Callithrix jacchus: one gene and its partner. The protein of the gene in region 2 interacts with the protein of the main gene of each other region in a pairwise test. Links are inferred from orthologs where the notes say so. Each region holds a gene or a part of one and is shown on either strand. Other genes may lie near its edges.

What was found.
Region 1: the proteins of DISC1 (region 2) and YWHAQ interact in a two-hybrid assay, tested with the Homo sapiens proteins (2 studies listed by BioGRID and IntAct). The link is inferred for Callithrix jacchus from reciprocal best matches to the Homo sapiens genes DISC1 and YWHAQ.

Annotation. Positions count from the first base shown.
Region 1 is NC_133515.1:105,346,727-105,352,486, forward strand, and holds the start of YWHAQ (14-3-3 protein theta), read left to right. Parts: upstream 1-2,536; 5' UTR 2,537-2,614; intron 2,615-3,025; 5' UTR 3,026-3,107; coding exon 3,108-3,401; intron 3,402-5,760. UniProt on the Homo sapiens protein: Adapter protein implicated in the regulation of a large spectrum of both general and specialized signaling pathways. Binds to a large number of partners, usually by recognition of a phosphoserine or phosphothreonine motif.
Region 2 is NC_133520.1:53,272,610-53,278,075, forward strand, and holds the start of DISC1 (disrupted in schizophrenia 1 protein), read right to left. Parts: upstream 3,587-5,466; 5' UTR 3,519-3,586; coding exon 3,455-3,518; intron 1-3,454. UniProt on the Homo sapiens protein: Involved in the regulation of multiple aspects of embryonic and adult neurogenesis. Required for neural progenitor proliferation in the ventrical/subventrical zone during embryonic brain development and in the adult dentate gyrus of the hippocampus.

The sequences.
Region 1 (5,760 bases), on a different chromosome or scaffold from region 2:
TTCCTCCTAGTATGTTGGATGTGATGCTTAACAGGTTTCATATTTACTAGGATGCAACTCCTAGAAGACAGAGACTGGTCTGATCCATCCTAGAATCTCTATAGCATCTAGCAGTGATCTGGGGGAGACTTGGTGAGGCAGCCTCAGCAGTGGTTAAAAAGATGGACTTTGGCACCAGTTGAACTGCATGGGTCTGTATCCAAGTTCTGCTGCTCTCTAAGCTGTGTCACCCTGTACATCGTGCTTGACCACCTTGTGCCTAAATTTCCTTGTCTGTGAAATAGAGATGGTGATCATAGTAACACCTACTTTGTAGTGACATTAAGCAGACTGAAAAAGTTAATTCTTGCAAAAGACTTAAAATAGTGCTAGACACATGCAATCACTCAACACAGGTTAGCTCTTTCTGTGTCCAGGGACTTCAAGTTCCCAGAGACATTTCTCTCCAACCTGAGTTCTTTCAGGCACAGAAGCCTTTAGCTATGCAGGGGGTCCTCTGAATCTTCCTAAAATGCAATTTTATACTGCGTCATTGGTTGGAAGCAGTTTTTACCCGTGATTCCAGATGACTGTAAATAGATGAGTTGGTGTTCAATAAATATTTGATTGAATGAAAGCAGAAATTTCCGAGACTAGGGTATGAAAAGCAGCAAAAACTTGTCCAAGGTCACTGGGGGAGACAGCAGCACAGTCGAGACTTTCTGACAAAGAGTTTAGTATTTAGTGTGCTTGCTCCTTCTGGCAGCCCCTCTCCCTATCACACAGAGGCCCCATCCCCTGACAATTTCCTCTCAAGGGTCTCTATCCCCAGTCTACCTCCACCGGCTCCTCCCCTTGCCTGAGCTGCCTCTAATTTCGGTGAGCTTGAAATTCACTGGTCATACAGAAGGCATTTTATCTGACCTTCCACATGCAAATTCTTTCCATTGGGATTTCTCCGTGTCCGGCTCCACCCCAGCCCACAGGGTCATAAACACTCATGTGTCTGCAGTGGGGCCCCAGGGATTCCAGAAATAACAGCAGGGCCCTCCATTAGAAGGCTGGAACATAGTAAGGCATTTCTGCATTAAGACACAGGCCCGTTCCAATCCAGGCCTCTCCTGTCTGTCAAAGCACAAAGCAACCTTTACAAGTCAGGACAGGGAGGGGCAGCCACGAGGGAGTCTGAATTTCTGGAAAGTCGGCACCTTCTCCTCCCATCTGTCTGCACTCTCAGATCTTCCATTCTAGAGATTCTCTAGATTCGCTGCAGTCTCCACTGAGAATGGGAAATTCTTTCTTGCCTGTGGCATTCTTGGCCCTTCAATGATCCATTCTCCCTAGACCTGCTGGAATAGGGATCAGAGCAGTGTGAACCCAGATGGCAATTCTCATCCTAAGATGGCACAAAGGCCACTCACCAGAAGGGCAGGACAGTCACCCTACCTGGATGGAGTGAGGGCACTGGGGAAGTGCCAGGAGAGACAGGAGTGCTTTAAAAGGAAAGTGAGATGCCAGGGATGACCCTGAATGGGAGGAGCCTGGGGAAATCTTCCCCACTTCAGCAGGGTGTTCCCCAGGAGAAGAAAATCAGAAATCAATACCCAGGGAGAGGATTTCAGATTTTCAAGTGTCCTCTCACAAATAATACCAGAAACGAAAAGCGTGTGCACAGGCGACAATGATGTGAAAAATTATGTATTTAGACGCATAACCTGGAAAGCCTGAAAGAAACATAAAAATTGATTTTTGGGGAGGGAGATGTTATGGGCAGGCTTTTTTTGGGGGGGAGGGGTAGTTATAGGTGTTTCCCTGCAAATTGTGCTTACTGGCATTCCCCATTTTAAAGAAAACCGCAGAGACTCGCCTGGATCTTCTGGGACATACCTTTTCATAAGGGAATTTTTTTGTTTTAGGTGCCCATCTGAAAACTTGAATGTATCATGTAAATGCCATACTGAAGCCAATGTCTCCATGAATCAATTCTTCTTTAATGGGGATGTGGTTTGCTGAATTCGGAACCCTAGTGGCAACGTCGTTAACGTCTGGGTTTAGTGTCTTGGGATCCAAACCTTTGTCACGGAGGGAAAGGTGGAGGAAAGAAAGGCCCCTGTGCTCCAAACAGCCGATTATGTCACCCTCCCAAGTCCAGCCTCGGCCGGAGCCCGCGAGATGCAATGCACCATCCGCAGCGGGAGACGCGGCCGCCGCCTCGGAGGTCGTGCGCGCCTCTGGGTCTCGTGCCGCACCCAGAAGTGCCGGGGTGGCGGGGAGGCTGAGGGGAGTTGGTAACGGCATCACCATGGCAACAGTGACGTCCTTTTACCCTGGATCTAATTGGAGGAAACCCCGTGGCCGGAGCCGCAGCCTGCCGGCCAACCGAACTTCCCCGCGCCGACCCACCCTCCTAGCCTCCGCGTTCCCTCCCGCCCCGCCCCCTCGCCCCCTTCCGCGCGCTCGGTCCTCACTGGCCCGTGGCGCGTCGGGGGGCGGGACTCTCGGGGCAAGCTCGGCGCGTAATTGGGCGGCGGACCGCCCCTCGGCTCCGGGGTAGGCTGAGACGGGAGGGTCCTCGGCTAAAGCCAAAGGCAGATCAAAGTGGTGGGACTCGCGTCGCGGCCGCGGAGACGTGAAGGTGAGCATCTGGGTTGGCCGCGGGCCTCCTCCGGCCGCTCTGGGCTTGAGGGCCCGGCTGAGGCGCCGCCCTTGGGAGCGGCGGGCTGTCGACGCCGCTCCCCTCAGGGACAGCTCTGGGCGGGAAGGTGCGGGGCCAACGGTCGCTTCCATCTTGGGCCGGCCGGGCGGGGGTGGCGGGAGCGGCCGCGGCTCGGGCTTCCCGCGCGCGGGGCCTCCGTGCCGCCCCCGCCTCCTCCTGCCGCGGGCCGCGGCCTCTCCGGGCGCCTGACGGGGGCGGGGGCTGGGACTGGGGAGAGGGAAATTCAAGCGGCCGCGTGTGCAGGAGACAAAAGCGGGCAGCGGGTCGCATTGTCTGACGGCGCTCCCTCCCTGCTTTTTGTTCTCGCCTCGCCGCCCCGCCCCTCCGCAGCTCTTGAGTCTCCTCCCGCTCCGGGTCGGCGCTCGCCCTCGCTCTCCTCACCCTTCGCCCCGGCCCCGGCCCTGCGCCCGCCATGGAGAAGACGGAGCTGATCCAGAAGGCCAAGCTGGCCGAGCAGGCCGAGCGCTACGACGACATGGCCACCTGCATGAAGGCAGTGACCGAGCAGGGCGCCGAGCTGTCCAACGAGGAGCGCAACCTGCTCTCCGTGGCCTACAAGAACGTGGTCGGGGGCCGCAGGTCCGCCTGGAGGGTCATCTCGAGCATCGAGCAGAAGACCGACACCTCCGACAAGAAGTTGCAGCTGATTAAGGACTATCGGGAGAAAGTGGAGTCCGAGCTCAGATCCATCTGCACCACGGTCCTGGTGAGTCCTCGGCGCGGGGAGCGGGGGAGGCCTTTTGTGGGGTGCTTTTCATCGAGAGTTTCGCGGGCAAGCAAGGAAACGTGAGCCGGACCTTGCCGGACTGTCTGCCGAGGTGGAGGGTTTCAGGCGAGCCCTGGCTTCCCTGGTTCTGGAGACTCCCGAAACCGCTTTTCCAAGGACAAGTCCATCTCTTTTCCCAGATGCTGGGTAGCTACCAAACGATGGAATTTGGAAACATCCAAGTAGGTCTCTGCGAGGCTGAAAGGCGGTTGTAAGTTTTTTGTGCCGGGAGACTGTGTCCCGAGATCTCTGAGCCGTTTAAATGTATTGAGTCGGTTCACCCGCTTCAGGCAGTTGAAAGAAGGCGCAGGCACCTTTTTGTTAGACAGTGTGGTAGGGATTTTCCCCAAACCCGGTAATTGAAATTTACTTCGAAAATCTGAGCAGTTACTTCATTTTTCTAGTAAGAATGTCTGTTGCGCCCCCCACCCCTTATAAACAGGAGAGATGGGGGAGTTGGGTAAATGTTAAAAGGGCACAGCTCTATCTGAAGAACACAATGTCCTGGTAAATTTCAACGTTTAGTAACATTTCTTTGCTGTCGCGTAGCTGTGCACTAGTGTTGAAGCGAATTCGTTTCTGGTTTGGAGCAAGCTTTCCAGGTTTTGAACTGTCCAGCCTTAGCAAGGGTGATTGTTGGGTGGAGTAGGTGGCTGGTGTGATTCACCCTTATTAGTGAGAGAGAACATTTTTAGCTTTGTCATTGCACGAATCTTTTGATCAGTTAGATAAGTTTTTAAAATTGAAATACCAGTATTATATGCAGGAGTGTTTTTTAAACGTTTCAGTGCTGCAGTCATTTCTTTGAATAAAATAGGAAATAATCTGACATGATTTGCCTCTCTTTAAGTGCCACTTTTACATGAGGCCTACTGACTTTTTATGTGTTTGTGCACATCGTATTTTAGGTGGGCTTTGGCATGCTAGACTGGTGATTTTTTTTTTTTTTTTCAAAAGGGAATAGAAAAAATAATTTCGCTCTGGCTCCCTCCCCAACTCCTTGTTTAAAAAAAAAATCCACAGAACTATTTTAACCTATTTTTCTAATACGACGACAGGCGCTCCGAACAAAACCATGGTGGATGGAAATAGCTGGTAAAGGGGCAAAGAAAGTAATGCAGACAGAGTGCGCACTGAAGTGGAGAAAGCTTGAGGTTATTTACTTTATGAAGTCAAAACTTTGTTTTATTCATCGTGTGTTCTTAGCTTCCAGTCCCTGTTTGACGTTGCAGAAGCCCTTGTAAAAGTTCTTTGGACTGAATTGCTTGTATTAAAAAAAATTTGCCCGCTTGAAAGTAATGGTAGACTTCACCTTCAATAACATATGGTAATGGCTGTTAACAGCATTATCTGTTACCAAGGAAAGACTCAAGAATTCCATGTTAACAGGGTTTTCTGTATATGTATTTTGGGTGCTCTCACAGCATATATTTCAGTCTCTTTCTGAAAAGACTATTACTTTGCAGTTAGTAACCTTGAGGCAATTCAGAATCGCCACATAATTTTTCTTTTTCTCCATCAAGGTGACTCTGAGTCAAAGGAATATTTGTTTTATTTTGTGGCTCTTACAAATTTTACTTTTTATGATGGCATAAGTTGGGGGAGAGTTTTGTTTAGTTGATGTGTAGCTTGAGAGAGAGACCAGGTATTATTAGAACTCTCATACAGATCATTTCAATAGGAGAGAACCCCTGAATTTAGGACCGTCTCTTTTATATACTAAGAAGAGATAGAATACTTTACCTTGATGAATCTGAGACACCAAGGCATAAATTAAATATTCATAAAATGGCTTAAGAGGCTAATCGTGGCTTGGTGGCCAGCCTATCTTGGGAAAGCACTTCTTCAAGTTGGCAACTGTATTGAGAGCTTTCTGTGTGCCAGGCACTGTGCTCTAAGCAATACGGGGCAGAACAAAACAGAACTGTGGATTATGCCCTCTGATGATTTATAGTTTAGAGTGCATGTGGGACATACATGAATGTAAATAACACAAGAATATTCCCATCAGATAGTTAATGAACACGATGCTATCTAGTCTGAAGGAAATAGAAACCTCAGAAAAGGGTTCAGAAAGATACCTTTTTGTGAGGTGAACATTGATGGGAGAGGCTGGGGGAGGTGTCAGTAAAGGCTGAAGGAATATCTGGGATAAGGCTTGTTCAGGGAAGAATGGAATGGTGTGGCTGGAGCAGAGTATGTGTAGAGTTGTTGCAGGAGACAAGTCTGGAAAGAAAGGTAGGGATCATTATTTATAGGAGAAGGTTAGAGTAAGGTTTTTTTTCCCCTCATTTGATTG
Region 2 (5,466 bases):
TGTAGTCCTAGCTACTTGGCAGGCTGAGGCAAGGGAATCACTTGAATGTGGGAGGCAGAGGTTGCAGTGAGTCGAAATCACACCACTGCACGCCAGCCTGGTGCAGTGGTGTGATTTTTGAGAGCAAGATTCCATCTCAAAAAAATAAAAAATCTCGTTTAAAGGTCACCATTGTACCCTCTCTTTGCTCTGAAGGTTCTGCATCAAACTTTAACCAAAACCACAATAAAATTCAAACATCGACAATTCAGTCTCTAATCCTTCTCCAATCAAAATATTTAGATTTTATAAAAAGAAAACTTTTTAATGAACATGAGAAATTGACTTTTTTTCTACAGTAATGTCACAATGTTTGAGCAATTAGCAAGTGCTATTTTTGCCATTTAACCAAAATAGTAATAATTTGCATCCCATTTTTGAAAGACACAAACGGATACATGCAGCATAGAAAAATGAGTTACAAGAGGCTGGGCACGGTGGCTCACGCCTATAATCCCAACACTTTGGAAGGCCAAGGTGGGTGGATCACCTGAGGTCGGGAGTTCAAGACCAGCCTGATTAACATGGAGAGGAATCCCTGTCTCTACTAAAAATACAAAATTAGCTGGGCATGGTGGCACATGCCTGTAATCCCAGCTACTCGGAAGGCTGAGGCATGAGAATCGCTTGAATCCGGGAGGCAGAGGTTGCGGTGAGCCAAGATCACGCCATTGCACTCCAGCCCGGGCAACAAGAGCAAAACTCCATCTCAAAAAAAAAAAAAGAAAGAAAAAGGGGTTACAAGAACAGAGACACCAAGCTATTTGTCTACCTTGCTGAGATTACAGTAGTTTTTAATGTTCATTTACTAGTTTACAGTTTTCTGTGCTTCCTGTAATGAGCAAGCATTGCTTCTGGAAAAATAAAAACCCGTAAGATAAACTTAATTTAGGAAACAAGTAAACTAGGAATTGTTTCTGCAGCACAAAGAACATTCATGCTCCTCTCAGAAGTTTCTGCTTCCTCTGGTGGCATCTTGGGTGAGCAATGAGCTTTCTGCAGAAAAGTCCTGCGGCCCAGCCCTGCAAGGTAACCACGACACCCAAAGTCTGGATCCCTGTTAACACCTCATGTGGCATCCTAAAGGTTCTGGCAAATGAATGGTAAAACAAAGCATTAATCCAGATACCACTTTGAGATTTGCAATGAGATCTCGCCTTCTGTTCCTTCAATGTTTTAATAACTTTTCTGCAAATTGTCATCATTCATTATACAAGAAGGTAGTTTAAAGTATATTTTATAAAACAAGGCTGAAAGAAATTAGAATTACCCCAAAGCCTCTTTTGCCAGAACTAACAATTCAGTCTTACATTTTGGGTCTATAGATATGCAGGATGGAAGCTGGGCCCAGTGGCTCATGCTTGTAATGCTAGTGCTTTGGGAGGCCAAGGTGGGAGGAATGACTGAAGCCAGGAGCTCAAGACAGCCTGAGCAACATAGCAAGACTCCATCTCTAAAAAAATAATTAGCTCGGCATGGTGACATGTGCCTGTAATCCCAACTACTCAGAAAGCTGGGCCAGGAGGATTGTTTGAGTCCAGAAGTTCAAGGCTACAGTGAGCCATGACTGCGCCACTGCATTCCATCCTGAGTGACAGAGCAAGACCCTGTATCTCTTAAAGAAAAACAAAAAGTTACCTAAAATCTAATATAGGTCTGTTCTGAATCACGGCTCCACCCTATAATTTCAGTTTGGCCAGTGGCCGAGAACACAGCTGTGAGTGGCACACACCAGGGTTCTAATCCTGGCTTTATGCTCAAGAGCTCTGTGAGCTTGGGAACCAAGCAGGGTGACCTTGAACCTTATCTTTGTCATAGGGAAATGAGGACTGTCATCCCAGTCCCATACAGATATGGGGAGGAGTTCATCAGAGGAATTCCTAATGAAATGTCTGGCACATTTTAAGTTCTAAAAATGCGCAGATATTATTCTTCCCTCCTAGTACTATCATGTGTGATATGTGCTTAGTGACTCACACTCCGCACGTAAGGTGCCTTCAGATCTTTTACCTCATTTGATCCTCAGACAATGCGATCAGAACAAAAGGCAGTAATTACTACCCCCATTTTTCTTTTATCTTTTATGTAAACAGATGAGAAAGCAGGCTCAAACTCCAAGAGCCAGAAAAGCTGCATGTCTCTTGTCCAGGGCTCTTTTTCCTCTGTGGCACAAAACTGAACCTCAGACGACTTCATGTATCATGCCGAGTGTAAAAAACTACATTTATTTTTAAATGTCCTGCTATTCCTACATTAATAAAATCCAACTGGTATTATCACGTTCCTCCCAATTATTTAGAGTTTGCTTAGTAAAAACAGCCACTAAGGTTTTTTGAGTGCACGCTGGGTATCTCAAGCATTGGGTGAGGTGCTTCACGTCCACGGTCACAGTTAAAGTGCATAACAACACTATGAAGCAGGTACTGTGATCGTGTCCACTTAATAACGGGGAAATTGAGGCATCGGTAAGTCCAGGATTGACATGCAGACTGTCTCCAAACCCCAGCTCATGTGGTCCTAGTGTTGTTCATCTCAAGTTTGTCTGGACGATGATAACACTGCAAAGTGAATTCCCATACAACAAAGCTAACGACACAGGGAGGCCAGATTATAAGTGTTCTCTTTTACAGTTCAGGAGACTGAGGCTCAGGCTTAAGTGACTGACCCAGCCCTGTCCTCACCCAGCAAGGACACAAGGAAGCACTCCCTAACTCCAAATTTCACTGACTTTGGAAAACCTCACATTCCTTTGCGAATATTTTAAGAGTGATGTTGAAAAGCAACCATCCACTCAGTGGGCATCACTAAGAGCTGACCGCGAGACCCGCGCTCCGGCGGTGGAAACCGAGCAGTCTCCGGCTTGGGCCGTGGGCGTGCCTAGTAGGAAGTGGGCGGTGGAACTGATTTCAGAGCAGCCCGTAGCCGAGCCACAGGCACCAGTTCCTGGTCCCTCTCCCAGCCTCCTCCCCCTAGGTGCCCGAAGGGGTGGAACCAGAGATCCAGGGTTTGGGGATTAAGGTGGGTGGGACGTCCCCTGTCCCGTGGGGGCGCAGGCTGGGGAGCACCGCAAGGAGAGTGAGCGCGGCGCAGGTGTCCCGGGACGGATCCAAAACCCAAGCACGCCCTGGCAACCCTCCCCGGTCACCAGGACACGCAGCGGGGGCGCAGGTCAGGGGATAGCTGCACAGTCCTGGGTCTGGGACCTGGCCCGGCTCGGCGCTGGCACCGGGCTAGCAGCCCAAGACTGGCTCTTCTCTCAACCCCGCACGCCGCGCGTCCTGCCTCAGTTTCCTCACCTCGAAAGGGGTTGTCAACAGAGGCACGCCCCGACCTACAAGACTTCCTGGGGGCCAGAGCGCGCCCTCCCTGCCAAGACCCCCCAGGACATGCTAGGACGTGGTGGCAGCTCCCTTACCTGCGCAGTGGCCCACGCCGCCGCCACAGGCGGCCGGGGCGCCCTGAGGACGCCCGCCTGGCATGCTCCTCCCGCTGCCAGCTCCTCCCGCTCCGCCCGAGCGGCTGCTGCTCGCTCCCCGAGGCCAGAGGCGGGGGAAGGGAGCGGCGCGCAGGACGGAAGTGGGGAGGGGGCTGGCGACGCAGGGGGCGGCTCCTTTCTTCTCCTTTGCCAGGCCGCGGTTTCCTTTCCAGGGTTGGCCCCTCACACGCGCGCGCACACACACACACACGCACGCACACACACACGCACGCGCACACACACACGCGCACGCACACACACACGCACACACACGCGCGCGCGCACACACACATGCACACACACACGCGCGCGCACACACACACGCGCACACACACACGCACGCGCACACACACGCACACGCACACGCGCGCGCACACACACACATGCACACACACACGCGCGCACACACACACGCGCACACACACACGCACGCGCACACGCACACACACGCACACGCACACGCGCGCGCACACACACGCACGCACACACACACGCACGCGCACACACACGCGCACGCACACACACACGCACGCACACACGCGCACGCGCACACACACACACGCGCACACACGCGCGCGCGCGCTCACACACACGCGCACACACACGCACACACACACACACGCACACGCGCGCGCACACGCACACACACGCACACACGCGCAGCTGGAGCGGGCGGGCCAGCGGCCCTCACAGCCGGTTTCCGGGATCTCGGGACCTCAGGAAGTTTGCTTTCACTGTGGCTCATTTCTGGAGGAAACGAGGGGAAGTGCGGGAGGCCTTCAGCACCGGGTAGAGGAGGGCGCCTTCCAGACGCGTGATTTGAGAAGTGACCACACAGTGATGGAGAAGATGGAGGGATGTGAGAGACTCAATTATACAAAGTGCGGAGGGTGGGGGGAACAGTGGGGATGACCGATGACCCTGAAAAAAGATGAGTGGCAGCAGATGTTTAGAAATGAGATGGAATTCCAATTTCTAGCATCTTCCAGCCGCTCTGGAGTGGTTCCCGGACACAGGCTGGTTTCAGGACACAGGAGTCCATGCAAGCTTGCTCCTAGGCCGCTGATTCAACCCTTCTCTTTGGTTCATTCAAGGAAGCTACTAGAGCACCCCCTAGGTAGCACCTGCTATATAGGACAATGGGTACAAGGAAGGGCTACACGTGGGCTCTGTGTCCTTAAGCAGCTCCCCTCCAGGCCAGAAGGAGAGCACGGGCATATGAAACCAAATCACATCAGGAGCTAGAATGTGCCATGTACCAGAGGCTTGGCACAAACCTTCTTGCAGGTGGCTCAGGGATAGGAGGGAGGGTTGTGAAGAAGGATTGGGGAGACGTTCTACAGGAAAGGGAAGGCTCTCCTCAGAACGAGAGGAGTTACAACTAGAGGAAGGCTGAGGTCCTTCAAAAGCTGACGATCTTATGAGTGAAAGCATACAGTTGTGCCTAAAATTCGTGTTTTGCCCAGCATGGTAGGTAGTGCACTCCCATCGTTTCAGCTACTCGGCAGGCTTAGGTGGAAGGATTGCTTGAGCCCAAGAGTTCAAGCACTGCACTGAGCTATGATGGGGCCACTGCATTCTAGCCCGGTGACAGAGAGAGACTCCTGCCTCTTTCCCCACGTCTCTAAAAATAAATGGATGTATAAATATCTAAGGCTGGGCACTTTGGGAGGCCAAAGTGGTAGGTTCACTCGAGTCCAGAAGTTTGAGACCAGCCTGGGCAACACAATGAGACCCATTTTTTTTAACTTTTAAGTTCAGTTTGTTACATAGGTAAACTTCGGTCATGAGCGTTTATTGGACAGATTATTTTGTCACCCAGGTATTAAGTCTAGTGCCCATTAGTTGTTTTTCTTGATCGTCTCCCTTCTCCTACCCTCAACCCTCCAAATGGCACCAGTGTATGTTGTTCCCCTCTATGTGCCCATGTGTTCTCATCATTCATTTCCCAC